3 linked regions of the Lepisosteus oculatus genome follow. The protein of the gene in region 1 interacts with the protein of each later gene in a biochemical or structural test. Links are inferred from orthologs where the notes say so. Each region holds a gene or a part of one and is shown in the gene's direction. Other genes may lie near its edges.

Region 1 (8,134 bases):
GAAACAACAATTGTATTTTATTTATATCACTTTAGTCTCAATATTTAACTTTACTTCCTGCTTAGATCATCAGAAAGGCGCAGACTATGAAGCAGCGGTCAGCAGAAATGGCTAACAGACAGAACTGACCTGGCTTTTACGGCTCCTCATTAGTGCTGTGTCATCGTGTCACAGAAAAGACATAAATTTAATGGTGCCTTTTGCTGGGCTGTGTTTGTGTCTTATGAGTGTGCAGCCATGTCTGTGGGTACAGGTGTACAATAAATGTGTGCATGAATGCAACTGCGATCTCATGTAAGCACATCACTGTAGTGTATCACAGTAACGGCACTGTACGGAAGTGTAGTAGGCCATACCAAACGTAAGGCAAAGAAACAGCTGCACAAACAGTTGGAAACTACGGAAAAAGTAAATGTGAATGCATAGTAGACAGAAAAACATAAAGCTATTGGCACTTCGCAAATTTACCATACTAACATTTCATGAGGCATGCAGAGCCTGAGCGTTAAACCAACCTGATCTAATGAAACTATACAATGAGAAAAGGGAATGCAAATAAGACATAAAATAAAAAAGTAATAACGCATAAAATTAATACTGCAGTTTGGTAACAATGTCACAGTCTCATCCACAAATTCTAAACTTGTGATATTAATTTTCTAACAGTATAGAAACAAATCTGCTGCCACTGATGGGTTGCCTGTGTTGCCAATGGGCCTCAGTAAGGAGCCTGCAGATTCTCAGGAGGTAATACTGAGTGTCCTTTACCGAGAGCTGAACCATGACTAACGGGAGTACTGTGAGAGCAGGATAAGGTGCCAATTGGTCACCGTTGTTAGCACCTAGAAAATGCATTCAGTTTTCAGGCAGTGGCTTCAGCCATTGACACGCGAAGAGAAGGCTCTTTCACGACCTCTTCTGCGGGAGAGATGAAGCTGTTTTCAGGCAGGCTGAGGGGAGAAATGCCGGATTTGCATAAGAAGGTTGATGTCATCCATTTTGCGGGCTCATGTTTTATGCAGCAGAACTTGTTTTTGTCTGTGTCATTAGCAGGCACAGGGGATTCACTGAAAGCCCATTTCAATGAGAAACGTTTTGGATTTTTTGTCCTGTTTTCATAAATCTCATAGCCACTAATGTCCATGTCATTGCAGTTTTAGTACATCTCACCAAGTTCCTTGTATAGTTTATGGAATATTAAGCATATTTTGGTAAGACTTCACGATAATATGTGGCTCGTCATGATTAATTCAGATTGAATAAAGGAAACAATACAACAGTGGGATCATGAACACAGGCTATGTAGTTTTAGCAGTTTTTTTAAATAAAAAAACATCTTCTTTTCTAGAACATATTGTACTTATTCCCCAATGTCTAAATAAAAATGCAGGGATATTTTATTGTACATGGGGCTTTTGGCATATCCTGACACTAATACTTTAATACCAACTAACATTATCCTCAAATGAACTCTAACATAAACCAGTGCAAACTCAGACTCAGTTTTTTCCAGACAGAGTTCTTGTGAGAACATTCTACTTGTTTTAGGAAGATTTATTGAACTGGATCCATGTTTCCTGTTCGCATTTACCAGATCAAATCTTTTTGACATACTGTCAGGTGTGCTTCATCATTAACATCATTTCTTCCTCTCCATACATCTATTAAGCTAAATGGCTACTTTCTGTGCTACAGAATACATAGCTATAAACTGTTAGCTTGAAACATAATGACAACATATTTCACCTGAAGATCAACACAGAACAGTTTTCTTGGATAGAGAAGAAAGATCATTGAGGGCAAAGGTCAAAACAATAAAGGATGTCGAAGAATGTGTGGATGTATGTTTTATTTCTCTTTGCCACACCAATGTCATCTTTTGTTAGATTTGTGCCTTTAAACAATTTTGATGACTTTCAGAGAATGAGAAACAAATTTTAATCTGGAGTAAAGAGCTTTGAAAATGTCCCTGTTGAGTCTCTTTTTTTATTGTCCAGACAGAGTGCTGGATGTTCATGCCTTCCAAACATTAATGTACAGTACTGTACATGTACAGGGAAAGGGGAACCTATATGGTTCACATTAAACTCCTCCATTTGTTTTAAATTTAATGCAGGAAATGAATCACTGCCTTTATAGTGCTGATGGTTTAATTATAACATGAAGAAATACGATGGAAATTTTCACCAGGTAGTGTTTTTGGTTTGTTTCTCCTCTCCTGTCATCTGAAGCAGACCCAGTGCAGATCTGTAGGGGCTACCAATCAGCAATTTGACCCTCATCACCCCACCCCCTGAGAAAAAGGAAAACAGCAGTAGTAACTTACACTCTACTGATAGGAATGCATATAAAACATCTCCTAGACGCTACTGACATACTTCTTGCTATTCAAACGGCCACAAAAAAGAATGAGCTGTCAAATATAAAGTACCCATCCCCATACAGAGATCCTATTGAATCCACCAGTCAAACATTTGCTTAAATAAATGAATAGATTCCTCTGTGTCTAAATGAATGTGCTAAGCAATACGTATCATTTTTTTGTGAAGGAAAGTGGAACACTGCGTAACTGACCAGAATGAAAGCATGCAGAGTACATACTTTCGGTACCGGCATTCACTGAGTTGCTGCAGAGGGTAGGAATTATTCTATAGAGATCATCCACTCACTCTCTACAGTTTTTCTCACTGGGTTTAATGACATTGAGCCTGAGACAGACACCATTCTGGACACTGTTTAGGAGTCTACGCCAGGACACCCCTAGGTAAGAACATGTTGAGGTGTCTGTGATTTTGTTCCCGATCAAAGTATATGGAAAGTGTGACTATGCCATTACCAAACCAAAAAACACTCAATTTTAAAGTTCCTTGTTTTTTTTTTTCATATCCTACTTGGCTTGGGAAAATCTTAATTTGGAAACACAATTCTGACTCTCTTAGAAGTTTGCAACACTGGGATTGCCTTGCGAAGTAAAGACAACCTGGGAATCTGCACATTGGCAGGCCATCTCCTTTACAAGTATAAGCTGATAGAAGCAGAGCAATGGGTAGTAAACTGAATCTCAGAACAGCACAGCAAAGTAAATGCCCCATAATAAACACACTGACAAAACTTCAATAAGGGATGCTCTGAGAGTTGTCTGGAGGAAAAAAAATAGTGTATACTTATTGTAAAATACTTGAACGTCTACTTAAAAACAGGAAAACTACATAAGCAAATTAGAACATACAGTATAAACTTAAAAAGAAGCTTAAATGTACATAATTATCTGTATGTTTTATGAATTGGTGGGTTGGGTTGGAGAATTCTAGACCTTTCACTAATCCGTAGCTAAAGTGCTCCACTCCCTAGGAGAACTGCATGTAATAATGAGGAGAGCCCAGATACTGGATAACTGGGTAACTCCATCATCATAGGTGGCTCAAAGCTGCCTGATCAAATACGTCAATTAGACATCTCTGCAAAAAATAACTAATATGTGTGATGAAAATAGTAATGCAACCAACATCTACATACAAAAGACTGTTTGCTGGAACAGATATCAGATTTTCTCTCCTTGTGCAGGATTTCTTTTCCATCATTTCACATTTCGTTTTTTGCTTTTGTACTCTGTGTGTATAAATTGCTATGGTGTTTTAAATATCGACTTTTAAGACCTAAAAGCAAACAGGGAAACCGCTGAATTGCTTCTGCATTTTCAGGAAGCTGAGTTTTCTTTTGCATTTCAGAAGAATTGGAAAATGGGGAGGCTGGGAATAAGATGCTGTTCCTTCACAAAAGTGAGCCTCCTTGATTTTGAAGCTTTCTGTCTTGCTTGAAAAGGACTGCAAGGTGTTTCTCATCCTGCCGTATTGTCTGCAGGACAGGGGCTGAGGCAGGGCCGTGCTGTGCAATCTGTGTAGAGCCATGGCACATTATGACCTCTTATTTTCCCTGGAGAGCTCTGGTCTTCCAGTGTCGCTCTGCAGTCGAATTAGGAGAGTGCCACTGAAAGAAAGGACATTTCAATGGCTTCTGGACAAACTGGGGACAGCTCCAGACTTAGTAGAGGGGGTAAGAGAAGGAGGGGGTAAATGAAACTCAGCTGGGGGTATGGGAGCCATTGAATGGTAGCCTTGTCCCTCTTTTATTTCCCTGGAAACCTGGAGTTATTGTTCCCCTCCCAGCCCAAACTGTCACCTTTAGTCCTTGATGGCTTTACTGCGCTGTCCTGCAAGGCTCTGTGGAGAGAGGCCTATTGGCCCATTCATACCACACCCCAAGGATTCATTAATAGGCTTATTAGCTACCCCATTCACAGCCAGTGGGGACTGGTTTTTAAGAGGCTCCAGCTACTTTCACAGAAAAAAAAACTGTGAAGAGATTACCCCCCCATCCTTCTCTCCCTTTCAATCCATTGAAAAGAACAAAACTGATGTGAAAGGCAGCTAGGTCCTGCTGAGATAGTTTGGGGCCCTGGATACATTTAGGTATGTTTTTTTTCTACCATTTTTGTGATCCTGAGTACGCTAGTGCTGTGACGGTCTGATAACAGGTGGCCACAAACCCTGGTTGTCACTGTTGTGATGACAGCTCTTTGGGAAAAATAATGTCTGTGAACAGTCCCTGATTGTTTGGCTCTTAAAGGTAATTATTGGACAAGGCAGGGATGCAAGAACACGTAGTCCTGCTGAACTCTAGAAATAATAACCAGCACTAACTGCAAGACTAATAATTTAGAGAACTTGTATTACTGGGCTGCTTGGCTCACTTCCTGCTGTCTATAAAAGCTACCCCATGATATTATCTGGAAATTCTTGGGGGTGAGAAATCATCACATCATGAACTGAAGTTTCAGCACATTTGGTCTTAAAAAAGAAAACTTAGAAATCAAGCGTTAGTCGCGTTAACTCGTGGTCCGGAGACAAGAATAAAACCCTTCAATCGGCACACTATTACTTGGGTCGTTACTTCGAAGAGTTAACTTTATTGCCTGCCTCTCTGTAGCTATTATTCAGTCCGCTTGGAGGCGTTGTTAAGAACGAGAGGCTCCTAATGAAGTTGGGCTCCCGGACCCAGAGAACTTCACAATCGCCGGGCTGTGAGCTTGCAGCGTATTGGGCTCAGCTAACAGAGCCGGAGAGACCGGTGAAGTGATTTGATTGGCGAAGGCGGGCTGAGTAAGAAAGCTGCCCAGGAAACATCTCAGGTTACAGGGGGAGTGACCCTAGACCGAGCCGGAGGAGGGGGCTCGTAGAGTCAGTGATGGTGGTGGGGGGGACGCAAGAAAAAAAACCTTTGTAAACCTGACAAAGCTTTTGAGATTAGAGCAAGGTTTCTTGAAGAAGGCATACAAAACACAAGAATCGTAATTTAATGGATTTGCTCACTTTTTGGAGGTTTCATAGCGTCGCCTTTTACATCAGGATCCGTCTTTTTAGTTCTTTCATCTGAGTTTGCAGAGCTGGAAAAGAATTTATTGTTATTTTTTGCTGTTGATAAGTATTTTTTTAAAGAAAAAAAGTGGTGAAGCAACAGAGAAGAAAGTTTTCCTGGACCTCACTCGGAACTGCAGTTGTCTTCGGGGAAATATATATATATACAGGGTTACTCCGGATTTCTTGAAGGGTCATGCTTGCACTGTTCCACGGCTATCGGATTTTCCAGTTCTTCGGTGCTGTTGTGGAGAGCGCGGTGACGGCGAAGTTGGAGTAGTAAAGCGCAGTCTGGCATTTTTGTAGCGGGGAGCTGTCCCGGTGGGAGTTCACACGCATTCCTCGCTTTGATTCGGCTCATGCACACGCCTGCTGCACAGTGCATGAGGATCGGCTTCTCCAAGGCTCTTAAACGCTCAAGGTAACTATCGCTGGACCCATCGCTTGTTGAAGATGCCCAGAATAGTTGTGCGAGTAAATCTCGTGCCAAAGTAAAGATGCTTTAGCATCCTTCGTGCTGTTTGCACATGTTACCTCCGCGTGCATGACTGTTGTTTTCTTTTATTTTTGGCATGATTTTACACTTAACTCGTAACAACGTTTGAATTAGGTTTCCTGCGTACCTGTTCTGGAAGTATATGACTGAACTTTTCCCAATGGCCCTCGTTCTTTGCCAATATTTTAATAGAAATCTCATTTTTGTGTATTATTATTTTAATACTCATTATTAACATTGATTCGTGTTTATACAGTTCTCATTTCAGTGGGTTTTGTTCGGTTTTATTGAATAAAATTCAGACTTTGCTTTGGAAAGCGATAATGCATGTTTTGTAGCAATTCTCTGATAATACTCAGATATTAATTGCAATACAACTTCACTTGCAGTATTTCATTTGGGTTCTCAGAAGATGATTTGGCTGTGTTGTTATGTCCATATAACACTAATATTGAGGCGTGAAAGTGTTATTTCAAATGAAGAACCCTAGAAGTCACTAAAATATTTCATTCTTTAAAGCAAAACGTAATTTTATTGTAACGATTATAGAAGATACAGTTGCCTGATGTTGATGCCTGAGTTGAGTGATGGCCGTAAATCTCCGCGACTGACAAGCGTTTTCATTGTGAATCTGATTTGAATTTCAATAGAATGCAATCAGCGCTTGAGAACTTCACTTAGCAATCTCAATACAAATGTAGATTCTCCAAGACGCAATTACTGCAGCCTATTCAGTGCGAGCGCAGCGTCTTCCAGCTGGAAGATTATGCGATGTTTGGTTCTAAACGAGAAAAGTATTTATTGCACGCTACAAAAAAGTCAACGAAACAAAAATACGTGAATTATTAAAATAAGTATCATGCTCAGTATCTATCTGATCGAAAACCTGGTCTCGAATTAAGATGCGTAAAAATGTCATACAATTTAAAGTGAATAAAATTAGTAAATGATGTCAAGAAGTCCTGTATGACATCGATTGACTGAAACTGTAGTCTAGTGATCCTTAAAAAGTGAGATAAACTCCACTGTTACCGTGAGGTTATTCCTATCTGAAAACACTCCTGGAAAACACTATCTGAATGGATTTCTTCAGTTTGTATTATTTTTAATATATAGTATCCTCAGTATAACTTTTTGATATGTTGTTTGGTATTTTCGATTTGTCCATAAACGTGAAGAGCTACCGATTTTGACCATCGGGTTTTTAAAATAAAACGTCCTGTTATTTGTATTTCGTATTTTTACTACGATTATTTAAAACGCGTTGTAGCAAATAATGTAGGAAATGCGGTTTCATTGCCGATGTACTCCGAGAGGATTTATATCTGAGTTGTGGGGCTAGATAATGGATCATTAAAGGGATAATAATGACATTTAAATTATAAATGCTAAATCAAGAAAGTTGAAAGTAGAATTAAATTATTCACGGCAGTCCCCTCTCCTAGGAGAAAGCGAAAGATGCGGAACACGATTCAGTTTGTGTTGGAAATAATGTTACTTAATAAAACCACAATTCATATCGTTATTTCCACGCGGACTGATAGTATTTGTGTTGTGATAAATGGGACCTTTGTTGGCTGTCGGAATGGAGAGCAGTGTGCCCCTCTCTGATCCACTGACCGGTCCGTCACAGCGGTTACAGTTTCTGGAGTACTGGGCGCTGCGGTCCCCGCTGGCACCGACTTCATTTTTCCAGCATTGACGGTGGTACAATTTCTGTTTGAAGTGGCTGCATTTGAAACGGGTTGAACTCCAAATTTCTTCAGTTTGTAGGGCTTTGTTATGTAAAATAACCATTAAAGTATAGACCAAAAACATCTGTGAAAATTCTCTTATTCTAAACATTCAATCTCCAGACATATTTTCGTGCTTTCATGTTGCTGTTGTAACAGACTGTTTTAATTGCCAGATACGGAAAAAACCTCGTTAAGTATTTTCTTCGGGAGGTACTGCGTCTACTGTAGTAATTCATAGTATTTTCCAGGATAATAATCCATTAGAAATAGTTTATTAATACATAAAACTCTCTTTCAAATACATTCATTCTCATGTTTTCAAGTGTGTACCGTATTTTTTCTGAAATTAATAGAAAACCAATAGAAAATTGACTATATTAGAAAAAGATTATTTTTACACTTATTTTCTCGTCAGAAATTCAAAATGGATTTTAAAATGATTTTGAGGGAAGGGAAACAAAACCCAAATGATCTTTAACACAATTAAA
Region 2 (7,869 bases), on another chromosome or scaffold:
GCTGAAAAAAAAGCCAAGGCATAATTCTGCCTTGCATGAGAGAAACAGGCACAACAGCAGAAAACGCTTCAGTGCTGACAGACGTTTCACACCTCATTCCTGTTGGTGAACTGTAAGAATCCGTCACCTTTTGTTGCATTAACACATACTTCTGCTGGGATCAAGGAAGAGCAGCTTCAAAGAGCAAACTTCATTAGTCAGGAAAAGCCAGTTTCTCAAACAGCCCTGTGCTGTAAGGTAAAGCAACCAGTGGCTGAAAATGAGGTCCCTTCTTTGAAGACTACTGTTTAAAACAGATCTCATCAATTAAACCCTGTTGCCTCAAATAAGTACAATTTAAATTGCCTGGAAATACTACACTAAAATGACCCTAAGAACAAGATCAATTACAGTAGATTCTCAGTTATATGTAAGTCACTTAGTTTTCTGGAAGATTAAAAAATAAACTGCCATTTGTTATTGAAATAAACATCACAGTGTTTTTTTCACAATTACTTTGAAATGGTTTCTTTTTAATATTGTATACAATTATATTCCATACTAGACAGTTACTTTAGAAACAAACATTGTGTGTATATTTGTCATGTTAGCCTTCATGACCATAAACTGTTTTCTTAAAATTTTAGTCTGTGCACTGAACAGCTAAAATACAACAGACAGGTTGATAGGAAACTTACATTTTCATACCCAGCCCTTACCTTTGTGTACTGACAATGTTGATGATGAAAGGGAAGTTCATATAGACACCATCTTCTTTTCAGGAAAAGACCTTCACACCCATCAAATAACTCTAAAAGCTACATTTTCCTTGGTCTTCTAAATTGTGAATATGTATATATATATATCAATATTTTCTTAAAAACATTTCCAGGCCAAAAAGACAATGCATTTGTATTTGGCATGCAATGTGCTTATACAGTACATAGACAAATGTAGAAAGGCATCTGCTCCCTAAGCAGTTCAATTATTATGGAATTCAGAAGCTCAAGCGCCTTCACCAGCATAGTCCAACTCCAGCTAAACCCAATGTCTAATAATAGTTTGACCTTAAACACAGTCCATTATTTAAATGAAAGCATAGCTGTATAAACTTACATCACAACAGAGTGAGTGTTTATTAAACAGTAAAATGTTACCAACTGCAATGTTTCCTTTTACGAAATCTTTTAAGAGAACAGTGATTTAATTGGACTTTATTGTGTTAAAGTACTTGTTTAGCATATGGAGTGAATTTTGTCAGTGTATAAGCACTCATTTGTAAGCCAGATCAAAATAATAGAGTTGATTGATAAAAACCAAGCAAAGAAATTATATATTAGTAAAGCCCATACAATATTGCAGGTAAAGATTTACGTATTTAAGTTTTATTTCCTATCCTATAATAGAACAAATTATGATTAGAACCGATTATAATAGAACTATTATGAACATCTAGAATCTTTCCTAGGACACTTTGTTTATTCATTGTTATTTAACTTACTAAGCAATTTTAGTTTTAATAGCATGGAATACTAGAAACTATCCTCATAGGAATTCTTGATGATGACTTATAACATTTCTAGTACACTTTCTATTTGCCTTTAAACACTTTTACTATTACTTTTCTTGAAGTGGACAGATGTGATTCCTTTCCATGGCACAAGGATTAAAACCTTTTGGTTTTGCATGATGAAACTTTGGATTAGTTTTATAGAATAAATGCTCTAAGTATTTACCTACCAGCAAATTGATCACCTTACTAAGCTTAACCCAGAATATTTATCATCACTATGACAGACAGCAGTTACACGGAGACAGATCTTAATCATAGTAATGCTTTTAGTAGTAATCTGTTTTAAATTCAATAATTTCTGTTTAAAATGAGCTATTTATTCCTTAATCTTTAAATGACAAAAAATGCTCAATACTTTGTCTAAGTACAAGTACATGAAAATGTACTAAGTATTTACATGTCTTAGTACATGTAAATAGAGTTAAAGTTAGAGAACACTCTAGTTGTGCACAGCACCCTAATGTAAAAACTGTTTTGAAACTATATTGGCTCAGTTTAAACTACTCTACTTAGTGCTGGGCATGTTTGCGTGTCCCATTGCAATAATGTTAGTGTTCTCATATTGTAATAACTGTGTCAGATTTAACAATGGTAGTCCATTAAAATAACAGGTATAGCTTTATTGTCTGAAACCTTTTCAAAATGTGCAAATAATTTCCGGAGTTCCCAAGCTCTTGTCAATAATCAATTTGCCATAAAACAAAAAGACTGGGAGAAATTAAAGAGGTGTACTCACGCAGGGTCTGCATGCCTCCAGGCTCAGGGCTTCCTCTGCTACTGTAAACTTTAATCACTTGTAATTTGGTTCTCTTTACCAAGTGCTCTTTGATCTGCTTGCAACATGCAACAATTTGAAACAATAAACTTAAACAACCTGTGTGACAATTGCCATCTGGCACTAAGTAGGCACACTTTTCCTCTAAACGCTAAGCAGCTTAAAATGGAACATCCTCACAAACTATCAAAAGGCATCACAACCAAATGAGAAATTAAACAACAACATGCTACTTTGTTTATGAAAGAACCGACGGAGGTTGAGTTCCTCTCCTTAAATATGCTCCATCACCCTAGTCTTCACAATCCTAAACATCAGTTTAGAATACTGAGATATTCTAGAAGAAATAATTGAAGTTAGTTTTGAAGACAACTAATCTTTATTTGTTCAAGTTATAGGTTGCTTGAAACAACCACATAAATATTTGATACCAATGAAGCAGAAATTGAAGACATGCTTTTTTGCACCACAAGAATAAAGCATAATAAAACCAACATTTATTTACATTTTTGTACCTTAGAAGTTGCAAGGTATTTTTCAGATCAAAATTTAGGATGTTTCCGACAGGACCCCTGACTCTCCAAACCCACACTGTGTCCCTTGTGAGTGTCTGACACAGCTGTGATCACTTACACGGTCCTTTTAACCTTTTAATTAACCTGCCCAGAGGGGTGAGTCACTTCTACCTCCCTATTATTTAAAAAATGTCCAGTTCATGGACAGTGGTGATCAGTACGTATACATAAAACTACAAGCTACCAGCTTAAAAGTATTTTATGTCAGAGTGCCAGCTACTTCATTAGATTATTTAATCATTATTTCATTTAATTGAATCACAGAAATATTCTCTGTAAGATAAACTACAAGCAAATTGTCATTGAGACAGACATTGATAGGTCCTTATTTTGATAGCTTACGTATATTATTGGTGCCAGTTTCGAAATCTCTTAGAAAACGCATATAAAAGTGTCAAAATACAAGGCTCTTCTGCCATTCCTTTAAGACTCTGTACAAATATTTACTTAATGGGAAAATATCACTAAATAAATTACGCCAGTGGAAGAAAGTTCAGAAGAGCTTTTATATACAAGAGCAATTGAAGTCTGTTGCTTTCTTGGCTTGCATCACAAGAAAAGGCTTGAAATGTGGATTGTTTAAAATAACTTTTAGTGCTTTATGTAGGTAACGTTTACACCTTTCAAAATGATGCATTTTTTAATGTTCTGATTCAACACTTACATCCTGTTACATTTGAAAGATAATACCATGACAAATATATTGACTACATTCTTGTTTTGTACTCGGTAGCTATTTCTCAAAAGTTCATTACTATGACTTCATTAGTAAGAAATATGTTATGTAACTGTCATGCTGTAAAAGCCTATTAAAATGATTCATTAATTGATATTCACTTATTTCCTGATAATCCTGCATCGCAAAACTTAAAAAATACAATGTATTTCAAACATGTGGTGTATCTTACCAAAAGCTGTCTTCAAAATTAAAATACGCTTTGAGGTACTGCTTAATCAACACAGACCTAGGTGATACAAACAGAAACAACCAACAGACCTTAAACCAGCCCTCGTGGATCTTGTTAGAAATAATCTAGTTATGATTTATCTGTCTATCTAAACACATCAGGTGTTGATAACTGCTGACTAATTTAAGAAAAGCAGGCTTGTCTGCAATCCAAAAGGTTCTCAAACTGTTGCCAGCATGCTCTTTGTTCTCCTCCCTAAGGGAATAGATCATTAAGTGCAATGTAAACTTCTGAAGTGTTGAGTGCAAGAAAAGTCCGGGTGTTTAAAACTGTAAATCCTGGGTTTAAGTACAAGCACAACATTCAAAGAACAGTTACCTCTGAGAAATTATGACTTGTAGTAGATAAATCCTCTATACTCTTCTCTGCAGCACTGTGGTATGCTTTGTTGTGAAGATTACTGCACCTGATTGCGTTTTCAATCAGCTTTCAAATTGGAGCAATTGCAAGGTGCGTGCAAACAGCTTGTAATCCACACCAAGCACCTCTTTTCCCAAGCTCAACAGATCTCTCCGGTTCTCGAAGTGCACCACGAATCAACAAATCTAGTAAAACTGCAGTCTTCTGAAACATTTGTTTGGAATGTGTGAATATTGGATATATACTGTAAATGATCCCCTTAACACGAGTTATTTCATTTCCGAGATCATGGTTTCAGCGACTTGTATATTTTTACTTTTGCTTTAAATAACTGCCAACAAATTTCTTTTGAAATGCGCGACCTTACTGTAGAGGTACAAGGTAATTAGAAAATACAACTGAATTAAATGTGTGCTTGAAAGGCATCAAGTTTCTGTCTCAGAAGTGAATGAAATACACTTTGATGCACACCATGGGAGTTTAAGCTATTCTTCAAGTTTATAGCTCCCTCTGATGACCACTGGAAGTCTGACAAAAAGAAACTGAGTTTTTTTTTTTCTATCCTGCATCCAAGTGACAGCTGACTGGCTAAGATCTAATTGCTTTCAAGTGAGGTCAGCAAAAGGCATTTATCTAAGTACACTGAATAACAACAGAGAGAAGATGCTCAGAAAAGCCCCTCTTGGGTCAGCACTTGATACATGGGAACAATTCTGAACCTGAAGGAGCCTCTTCTAAGTTAGGAGCAAGTTTGGATTCAGACTGTTTTTGAATTGCAAAATAAGAGAAAAAAGGATACTTGCGGTATTTGCTGCTGTTGCCTGAAAACAAAAGTAAGTATGCAAGTTAAATTATGACACAATTTTGTGATTTTCTCTGCACAGTTTCCAGCTGTCAGATTAAATTTTGTATTTAAATGGTACCAATGGGAAGAAAGTGGTTGCTTTTCAGACATGCTCTAGTATGCTCTACATGTGTAAAGCTGACAAGGAGGTGGTACTGAAAGTCTCCAGTCTCCAGTCTGTCCAGACAACTAAATGAGAGAAATTGTGGGCAGTTCTCCGGAAAGTGTTTGGTTAGCCGCAAAAGTGTCAATGATTATAAAGGCATGACTGCAACTATGAGGTGAGCAAATAAAGGAAAGCCTAAAGCAAATGTTTAATATTGATTTTTGCACTAAAGTTAGGATAAATGCTTACTAATTTACATCAAATGCTGCTTAGACATCAAATGAACAACTCATTAATTTCAGCTTCTACAGAGGTACAGAAACTACAATGCATGTAACAACAATATGCAACATATCATTTTAATTTTTTTCTTATAGAGAATTGTCTCAGATACTGACTGACCTCTGGGTCAGGGGTTGCAGATGTAATACTGATACAAGACTGACCATAATTCTTTGTAAAAACTGCTCTTTTTTTTTACAGCTCTGATATTGAAAAGACTGTCACCACAAACACCAACGATATGTACTGCAGAATGCATTGCTCTGTGTTGTCTGAATCTGCAATTAAAATATACAAAAGAGGACTATAGAAAACTACCTTCTTGGCGTTCAGTAAGGCAAAAGCATTTCTTGACACAATATTCACCAGTAGAAGTCCTGAAGACCTCCTGTGTGCAGACGAGAGGTCAGGTCCAGGACCTAGCAGCAACAATCTGCATTTTAATTTCTATTTCAGTATGTTGTTCGTGAATACCCAGAACACTGCATTATAATGCGCAAATGGATGCTGAAATGGAACCTGCCAACTTTGCCCTCTGGACTGTACTTACTCTTTATCCTTCTAGTGGGCAGTGTGTGTTTAGCTTGCAATGACAGAACTCCAGAGCAACTGGCTGCAATTATGAACTGCTCCAAACATGAACGGCACACAAGAAATTATGACTATATGGAGGGAGGGGATGTACGAGTCAGACAACTTTTCAGCAGAACACAGTGGTTTCTAACAATTGATGAAGCTGGCAGAATTAATGGAACACAAGATGATACCAACTGCTACAGTAAGTATCTTGTTTTCTTCCATGAAATTAACATGTTTTTTTAAATTAAATTCTGCTTTAAATTAACTTTCCTGCACAATCTGTATCCAATAAATATATAGATAAAGCTGTTGAAAAGTAAGATGCTTAAACATATGATAAATGTAAGATATTTAACTACAACAATCCAGGCTTACCAAGTTTTCCAATAATTTTCATCAATATCTCAACATTAGCTGCACAGATCTCATAGAACAAAATTATGACACTTTTAACTACTAAATAACTTAGCAGTTTTTATTTGGAAATTTTAATTACGTTTTTAGGCATATTCAGTCTTAATTTCCAAAAGACTAAACCGAGAACAGAAAAGTGCAGAAGTGCAGAAAAGATTTAAGATCATTCCCTGGGGCCAGTCCTAGGGTTGCTTTCCAGGTCTTCTTTTACTTGAATTTTACAGCACTTTGACTAAAAATATTTTCTGACCTCATCGGAGAGTCATTATTGTTTTTTTTATTATTTTGTGATTATTTTCAATCCAATAATGACCCCTTTCAACGTTCAGTCGCTGCCCATATATTGTTATCATACTATATTCCCAACAACATCATTAGTTAACAGGTAATCCATTGCAGTTAAAAGAGCACAGACATCCAAAATGACAGAAATAAAAGAAACCAGGTGTCACACTTGGCAAAGTGAATTCCCACACTAAACAAAGACTGAAACAAAGTACTGTATACAAATCGGTCTTGAATTAAAAAGTGCTAGATTTCTATGAGCAAATCTGCACTGATTCATCTCACATAATCTATTTTTTATTGATGACACTTGTTTACTAAGGTACATTAGATATCCAACAGTGAAAGATATTAAGGGTGTTTATGTCGCAGTTTTATGGGAACATACCACATGCACTGTGAATAGAAAATAACTACGACAAGACATGACTGTTTTGTATTAAAAGATTCATGGGTGTCCAAAAGCAATTATCCCAACCTCATTGTAAGCATCTATATGACAATGTTCAACAACAGTTTTGGTGTGGTCAGCCAGTTACGAGTATGTCTTACTGTATATTGCATTAATCTAGACAGATGTTGCTGCTGTCTGGACATACTCCTGAACACCTATTAAGTATACAACACCTGTTCTTTCCAAATAACAACATTAATCTTTCCTATGATTTCAAAACTGAAATTGAAAACTGAAGTTAAACCTTATAAACAATTCAAGGTGTTAAATATTTGAACAGTGTACTTTATTTTATTCTTGTTTTTCTAGCATGCGCACTTCCAAGTTGAAATACTGACAACAGCCATAACAGTGAGATTTAGATTGCAGTTTTAATATACTGTATAAATAATAATACAGTTTTTGTTACTTAGTTTTTCTTTAAATCTGTGAAGAATAATACTGGTATTTTGTACTTTTAAAGAAAATACAACTATAAAAAAGATTCATAACCAGTAAACCACCAAATCAAATAGTGATAAAGCAAAACACTAAACTTGAAAATTAGTTATGACAGCTATATTACATTTTGTCTGATCCTTAGTCACGTCACAGTTTTGTTCTTGTGTTCTTTTACCCTGGGTAGGACCCAGTGGTTAACTTTGCTTGAGCTGCCCACAGAGAACTCAGCAGGAA
Region 3 (7,610 bases), on another chromosome or scaffold:
AGTGACTGATTTCTAGGTCTGTGAATTGTTGCAGACTCTTCTGAACAAGAACAATTGGCCAGTTCTAGCAAGTGTTACCCAGTTTTCTGAAGTCATATCCTGACGCTATGGATCATTAAAGTTACCAAGATATACTGATATACTGATTTGTACTGTACCTTAAAATATCTTTCTTTTAATTATCAAATATTATGTACCTTGCATTTTTCTTGTCCAATCATTTAGCCCAAAACATTGACATTTAAAACCTTGTAACATAATTTACTGTCCTGCTACCCCTACTTGGCCTTATCTTGTGGCCTCATGAGTAAAACAATACTTTTTGTCACCTACAGTTCCTAACGGTGAAACATTGTCTCCATATCTTACATACTGTAATCATAGTTTTTCTGATATAGTTTTCATAGAAACTCTTCTCTATTTTCAACAGTTGTATGCGGTTTGTTTTGTGCTCTGTTGGTGTGTCTTGAATTTATATAGGTGAGAAAGATGCATTAACTCGGAGAGCTTGAATGACCATTCACTCTGAGCAAAAGTGCAGAGAGGCACTAAGAGGCACAGTATTTGGTTGAAACACAGAACATTGGCAGAGGTTACTCAACATTGTGTCCCAGCCTGCACTGAAGAAGGGGGAGGTATGGACTGGCCCGGTTTTGATGACAGACACTGTATTGCAATGGCCCATCGAAACAAAATATTGGTTTTCCAAGTTGTAGTGCTGAGTAACAAGATAGCTAAGGCATTAAGATGTCCAGCAAATTGTTTTCTTGTGTGATGAAAACTACTTTAGTTAAGGTTTTCTTTCCAACATCTGAACTTCATTAGGATTACTGAAAAAAATAAATAAAGCTTTTACAAATACTAAGTGAAATCTGCAAAATTGAATAGCAGGTTGTCTTTTTTGTGGGTGCACTGCAATAGTGCATGTGAACAGACCAAAAAGCACAAGCCCTAAAAATTATTCAAAACGATTTTTCAAAGAAACAAAAACCTAAGGTAATCAACTGCTTCAGCGTGGATCAATTGACCCTATTTTTTGTGCACTTTCTTGCTCCTGCCAAATCGCTTTTACTGCAGTGGGCAGGCAAACACAACAAAAGGAAGCTAATGATAACATCATTCCTTTCCTGAAGCAGAAGATTAGACACTAAGCCAACAGAGCAGGCTAGACCTGAGAGCCATGGGTGGAGAGAAGACAGATAGGCAGGAGAGAGGCTGACAGCTGAAAAAAAGAAGTGCATTTTAACTGTAAATAGAAGACGGGCCTAGAACATGTTACGTAAGATAGGATTCATCTAAAGAAGAATGAGGTCTCATTTATCTCCAAGATAAATTTCATGACCCTGTTATAAACATTTACCACACTAGGGGGACCTAGTGAAGTTTCTAAGTGCTTCAGTCTTCAACCCTGTACAGTATTTCTCCTGAGGCAGAGTATTTTATAAAAGTGAAAAGCTTATGACCTTTTCAGACATTTAACACTGACTTAATCCAATCTTCTAAGATATATGTTTCACTGCATGGCACAGTTTTGGCATTGTTACTGTGGCTAGAAGCTGTTTCATATTTTATTATCAAGCTAACACAATTCTCCGGAGGTAGTAACCTTCTCTTCATTATCCAAAGAGAAACAAAAACAATTACCTCATGTATAGGAGCATACAGGTTTAGGAAAATGCAAGATTCATTTATTGAAAATGTACACACATAAAACAGAAATTCTTGTAAAACTCATTAATTTTTTAAACTAATGTTACATTAAGTGATTCAAATCTAAAATAATGACTTCACTCTTCTTCAAAGTGTGCTAAGGGTCATTATTTGCTCAGAAGAAAAGGTTATGCTTAATTCTTTTCTTAGACCACATAGTAGAAATGTTATCGTACTACTACCAGTCTTTTTAATTAATAAAGATAACCAGCATCAAACTTCTGAAGAAAAAGTCCCAACAATTTATTGTTTGTGACTATGGGTTTGTTGTCTCCTATTATTTTAAATAAGTTGCATACGTGGAATACTAAACTTAACTTTAAATTAGATATCTTGTCAATAAATGATCTATTTATCGTAATTAGAGTTAAATTAAGTTTGTGAAAGTCAGTTTTCACATGTGTAATTCCTAAATCAAATCATATCCATACTGTACGTGCATTCAGCTTCAGAAAGTAATCTACTAAATATGTTTAATAAGAAATCATAGAACTGAATTTTCTTACATTTTTCATTTGAAAACTTGTGTGGCTTTTAAGTGCATCTGTGCAACATAATGAAGTCAGTATTGTTTCCAGTTTCTCTGTGGTTCATAATAACTGTCTCTCAGGGTCAGTTAAGCTACCAGGGACATGGCTTAAACAGATGCTGACTTTTCTTCTTTTCCATCAATTTCTACTGTTGGTTGATTTTTTTAAGCTCGCTCATTGTTGCATCTGCCTTCTGAGGAACTGTTAGAACTCTTAGTTAGTCTAGTTACATACAGTATATAGTTCCAGCCATAAACATTCCAGCCATCATAGTTTACATTGATGGTTGTTAGTTGTTGGATATTACAGAATCAACACCAGATGTATCTCTCTGAAGAAGATCAAAGAAGAATGATTGAAACTTAATGCAACAATACTTGCCGTAGTTTAAGAAGAAAGAATAACTTAAGGATCAATTTCTGATTAATATTTGTCTCAGTTACTGGTAATCTAGTGATTTAGTGGAATCTATTTTAGGCACTTGCCGACAGTTAACATACTGTTGTGGTGCATTCTGGCACAAAAAAAGTGAAACAGAATAATCACTTTTAATTTCCCAAGTGAGTAGTCCATTTGGTTCTTTTAGCATTATCTGTTATATACATAGTCATTAATCATTGTTTGCGTCATGGTTTATATTTAAAATATAGTAGATGTATTTTCTTGTTTGCTTCTTACTCTGTTTCATCAAAATTTGTAAACTTTTGAATATTCTTTCCCTGGGTTTCACTTTGTGTGGTGTCTTAAAAACGATATATTTTATATTAATTTGGCTGGGGTTTGAGAGAGGGAATTATGTTACTGTAACAGAAGGATCATAAACTTTTCAACCCCATTTTTTCACCCATATGAATTCTACTCCCTTTCCAGTCTGGTTTATCTGGAGGATGAACTGGCAGTAAATAAATGCAATATTTTGAGTCTGTTTTCATGCGGTTATATTGACAATCTTCACCTGCTTTTAGCATTATTAAGGTCATTCTAGGGTTTAGGATAACATGAAATAAATACAAAAATGTCAGTAGATGATGATTTTGTTAGAGAAAAAATCTGACTTCATACTATACCTGGGTGGACTGTCATTTAAAAACTAGCAATGGTCTGATTTACAGGACTAGGAGAAGCTGTTTTCATGCCATGAAATATAACCCACAGCTCTGGCAGAGAATCAGTCAAAACACAAAAAATATTTATTTGTCTGCAAAAAAAAAATGAAAAGCTGTTTAGAAACAGGTTGTGAGAGAAGCAGTGGAGATATGGGTTGAGAATAAAATGTGAAAAGGAAATTAAACAATTCAGACACTGGATTCTAAGACCAAGATTTTATGATGAGATCTTTCAAAACACGGAAAGGTCCCTTTTCGCTCTCATGTTAAAGCATTATTTGGCAAATAGCTCGTTAGCATTTGCAAATTGTTTGTGTATGTCTGTTTTCTTTCTAGAAATCTGGGGGGGAGGGGAGTGGTAGAGGATGTTATTGGTGGGTCTGGGGGCTTGGATACTGTTGTGGAAACAGAAAGTAAATATATGTATATTAGGAGATGGGATGTGAGGCTGTTGGTAGTGGCTAACTTTAGCTTTCAAATTCTCGCTAATTAGGAAAAGAAAGAAAATATATATTTTTTTTTTGTTTTACAGACAGTAATTTATCTGGTCCGGCTAGCCTGCTGTACGATACTGCATTCCGTGCACAGAGGGCGTAAATAAAGGAACCCTCTCTCTCCATATCGAAAAGGCAGAAGAGATGAAAACAGAGGATTAAAAACCGAAGAGGGTGGAAGGAGCCACTAAGTAAGGACACAAAGCAATGTGCTCAAGGTGGCTCTAAAAACAGTTCAATGCCAAAAAAGTGGCCACTGGGAAGTCTGTCCAACAAAGAGGCTCCCTAGAGGGAGCTGGATGCGGTGCGAGAGACAGAGAGATTAGCAAAGCCATGAGTACACAGCCCATTCTGTTGGCCAGCCTTTAGTGGAGGAAAAAAAAAGAAAAACTGAGAGCAATTAGCCAGGGCTGAAAGTCTGCCTCAAAAAGGGGTAGCAGTTGGGAATCTTCTGAACTTCCCCTCCCCTCCTACCTCCCCCCCACCACCCGCTCCAACCCCACCCCCCTCCCTTAAGGAATTTTGCAACTCTGCTGCCTGGTTTCAGATGTCTTCTTTTGCTCTGACCCAAGGGACCGACTGACTACCACCTCCAACTACCTCTGTAGGCACATCCCACCTCGGCAGAATAATCACTGACATTATTCACCAGTCTCTGACCTGTTTACTGCTAAGCAAGTTGGTGGTGGTTGGTGTGTGTGTGTGTGGGGGGGGTGGGTGGGGGGGAGAGAGAGAGAAAAAACACGCTCACTCAACACACACACACATCTTCAAAGCCAACTGTTTTTCATAGACTGCCAATTAGCTAAAGAGATTACATCTGGTCCCTGTGCTGAATAAATAAGGTGAAAAGAGTGACACGAATCAGACACTTCGGAGAGGAGATCGGCTGTGTTCAAGAAACCCCTAAGTGCTTCAGCTGTGGGGGGGGGGAGAAGCGTCATTCACAGAGGGAACTCCCGACAATATAAAACCCACAGACTTCAGAGGGATTACACTTACGGATTTTTCTTTGCTTTCCTTTTATTTATTTTTTTGGGTCCAAGAGAAAATTTATTGTGAAAACTTTCTGTTTCAAGGAAGGAGCCTTCAAGGGGGGGGAATTCAGGCTGCACGCTGGAGGTGGTTTGAGTTATGGATGTTGGTGCACTCCGTTCGACAGAAAGAGGAGCTAGAGAGGGGATAACAAGCGACGGGACCTCCACTTGCCTCCTTCCACTTCTCCCCAGTATTCCAGTATGTTTCTTTCTGTGAGACTTTTTCCAGTCCCAAGAGCTTCAGTACAATGTGGAAATGGATACTGACAAAGGGTGCCTTAGCCTTTTCACACCTGTCCTGTGTCTCCCTGCTTGTCTTGATCTACACTGTGTCTATCACCTGCAATGACATCGGCAAAGACATGCATTCAGCAGGGGTCACCAACTCTTCTGTGGTTGTTGGGAGACATGTGCGCAGCTACAATCACCTCCAAGGAGACGTTCGCAAGAGGAAGCTCTTTTCCTTCCAGAAGTTCTTTCTCAGGATTGATAAAAATGGCAAAGTTAATGGGACGAAGAGCAAGGATGATCCCTACAGTAAGTAACTTATCCTAACAAATCTCTTCCAGATGTAGGTGAGAGAATGAGACTAAATATTTCCACTCAGATGTCCTGAAAAATGATTAATGTAATGTTTTAACACTGCAAGAAACTATTTACAACTGTAGATAATACCCTGTTACCTCTTATGTTTGGTGTCCCTCATTTGCGATAGAAAAGACAGTGAAATAATTTATCACAACGGAAGCTGGAGAGCTTGTGAATTTGCCGTTCTGTCTCTTCCATTTTCTATTACAGCAGTAAGCTCTGAAAATGTAGAAAAAGCCTTGTAGTTTTTCTGTGCTCTCATCAATAGAGTGCCTTTGTGATATTTTTTTTACATTTGCATGTTTTAATCAGTGGCTGTTCACGTATGAAAGACGGAATCTGAAAACAATTATGCTGTGCCATTTCAGTGGTTTTTCTAAAAACTTTAAACATTAATTTCTTTAGAAGAGAAGAGGGTCTCTTGTGGTTCAGATATTATTTATTTCTGCACTTCATGCTGGTTTGAAATGATCAGAGAGTCTGAAGAAGCTAGGCTGTAATGCACCATGACCACTATTTGTCTTCATTTTCCCTTCCCCACTGTAACTGTATATTAGTGTTCATGCTGCCCGTAGCACACATGGTGTTTTCTAATGGTTTTTACTATTAGTTCTGCTGCTAAAAAATAGACTCCCCATCATACCAAAGTACTGCTCCCTCGTACCAGGGTACTGCTCTTTGAAATCAGTGTTGCTCTTTTGTACCAGAGATCAGCTCTTTTACACCAGAGTGGTGCTCTTTAATATTAGTGTACTGATCTTCTAAACCAGAGGAGTGCTCTGTTATACCAGAATACTGCTATTTGAAATCAGAGCGCTGCTCTTTTATATAAATGCACCGATCTTTTATACCAGAGTAGTGTTCCATTATACCAGAATACAGCTCTTTTATAACAGAGTACTGTTCCATTATATCCGAGTACCGCTCTTTTATACCAGGGTATTATTCTGTTATACCAGAGTGCTGCTCTTTTATGCCAGAGTACTGGTGTCTTATACCAGAGTACTGCTCTTTTACAGCAGAGTACTGTTGCGTTACAGCAGAGTACAACATTCTCTGTAGAATAAACATTTCTCAACTTGAGACCCACCTGGCCACTGTTCTTCTTCCATCAAGACTTTGGTTACACCTCATGCACACATTTCTGCTCGTTAATTAAAAACTATCTTGTGAGCTACACGTGGTAGAAATTGTACTTCAATAGGGAAGTATTGAAATGTTGTTTAGCTGTACTGGATATGGATTTAAGAAGCTTGAAGAAGGACTTGTATCTTCTCTTTCTTTGTTTTGTAATGTTAAGCAAAAAGTAATCAAAATTGATTAGGTTAATTCGTTTACGTAAGTGGATTTGCAGTCCTCTTAAATTACCCTTGTCTATAAAATGAAAAGTGCACTTAAACTTTAGAAGTGCTCAGGCAATGGTTGATACATTCTAAATAGTGTGTTTTTTAGAATGTGCAACAAAGAAGTGTTTTCTTATTTATAGTGTGTTACATAATATAGCAAGAATAAAAAGTAAATATCATTCACAGTAATCTTTATATTAAATTTGAGCTTTCAGATTGAAATGGCTATTCTTCTGAAGTTTATAATTTAAATACAAAATGAGTTCTCCACGAAAAATATAAAATGTTGTGTGCCCCAATTCTGAATTAATCAAAGGATGTCATCACATTTTATGATAAAGTGTGCATATGAAAAAATATCCTTGTTTGTAATTTGTTGTAAACGTGCAAAATTATCAACTTATTTTTCTATCTACTTGTTTTCTACTTTCTCTATATAGACTAAAGATGAATGATTTGCATTATGTACTGAATAAATTGGTGGTAATAAATTTTGTTTCTGTGAGAGGCAACTAAAGGGTTAAGATGCATACTAAATAATATGAAATAATACATTTCATCCAGTATATTAAATCTGATAAAATTAAATTGGCAAAAACGCAAGTAAGCAGGAAGGTCTCCTTCAGTAGACTTTGACTTGCTCAGGGGCATACAGTATGTTAGGCAAATGAGTTTTTATCTGACATAATAGCCTTGTAACAGATGCATTCCGTGCAGAACAGATAATCCCTCTTATGTTTATGGTATCTGTAGGAGCAAGAGTGTAAAACCATAGATCTTAGTGCAGGTTGGTACAATG

Evidence for each region.
Region 2: the proteins of fgfr2 (region 1) and fgf7 form a complex in vitro, tested with the Homo sapiens proteins (3 studies listed by BioGRID). The link is inferred for Lepisosteus oculatus from reciprocal best matches to the Homo sapiens genes FGFR2 and FGF7.
Region 3: the proteins of fgfr2 (region 1) and fgf10a are reported together in a solved structure, tested with the Homo sapiens proteins (3 studies listed by BioGRID and IntAct, with this or other methods). The link is inferred for Lepisosteus oculatus from reciprocal best matches to the Homo sapiens genes FGFR2 and FGF10.

What each region holds. Positions count from the first base shown.
Region 1 is NC_090699.1:29,546,395-29,554,528, reverse strand, and holds the start of fgfr2 (fibroblast growth factor receptor 2), read left to right. Parts: upstream 1-5,060; 5' UTR 5,061-5,773; coding exon 5,774-5,835; intron 5,836-8,134. UniProt on the Homo sapiens protein: Tyrosine-protein kinase that acts as a cell-surface receptor for fibroblast growth factors and plays an essential role in the regulation of cell proliferation, differentiation, migration and apoptosis, and in the regulation of embryonic development.
Region 2 is NC_090700.1:43,789,990-43,797,858, reverse strand, and holds the start of fgf7 (fibroblast growth factor 7), read left to right. Parts: upstream 1-4,869; 5' UTR 4,870-5,063; intron 5,064-5,663; 5' UTR 5,664-5,954; coding exon 5,955-6,240; intron 6,241-7,869. UniProt on the Homo sapiens protein: Plays an important role in the regulation of embryonic development, cell proliferation and cell differentiation. Required for normal branching morphogenesis. Growth factor active on keratinocytes.
Region 3 is NC_090698.1:16,463,611-16,471,220, reverse strand, and holds the start of fgf10a (fibroblast growth factor 10a), read left to right. Parts: upstream 1-4,582; 5' UTR 4,583-5,125; coding exon 5,126-5,414; intron 5,415-7,610. UniProt on the Homo sapiens protein: Plays an important role in the regulation of embryonic development, cell proliferation and cell differentiation. Required for normal branching morphogenesis. May play a role in wound healing.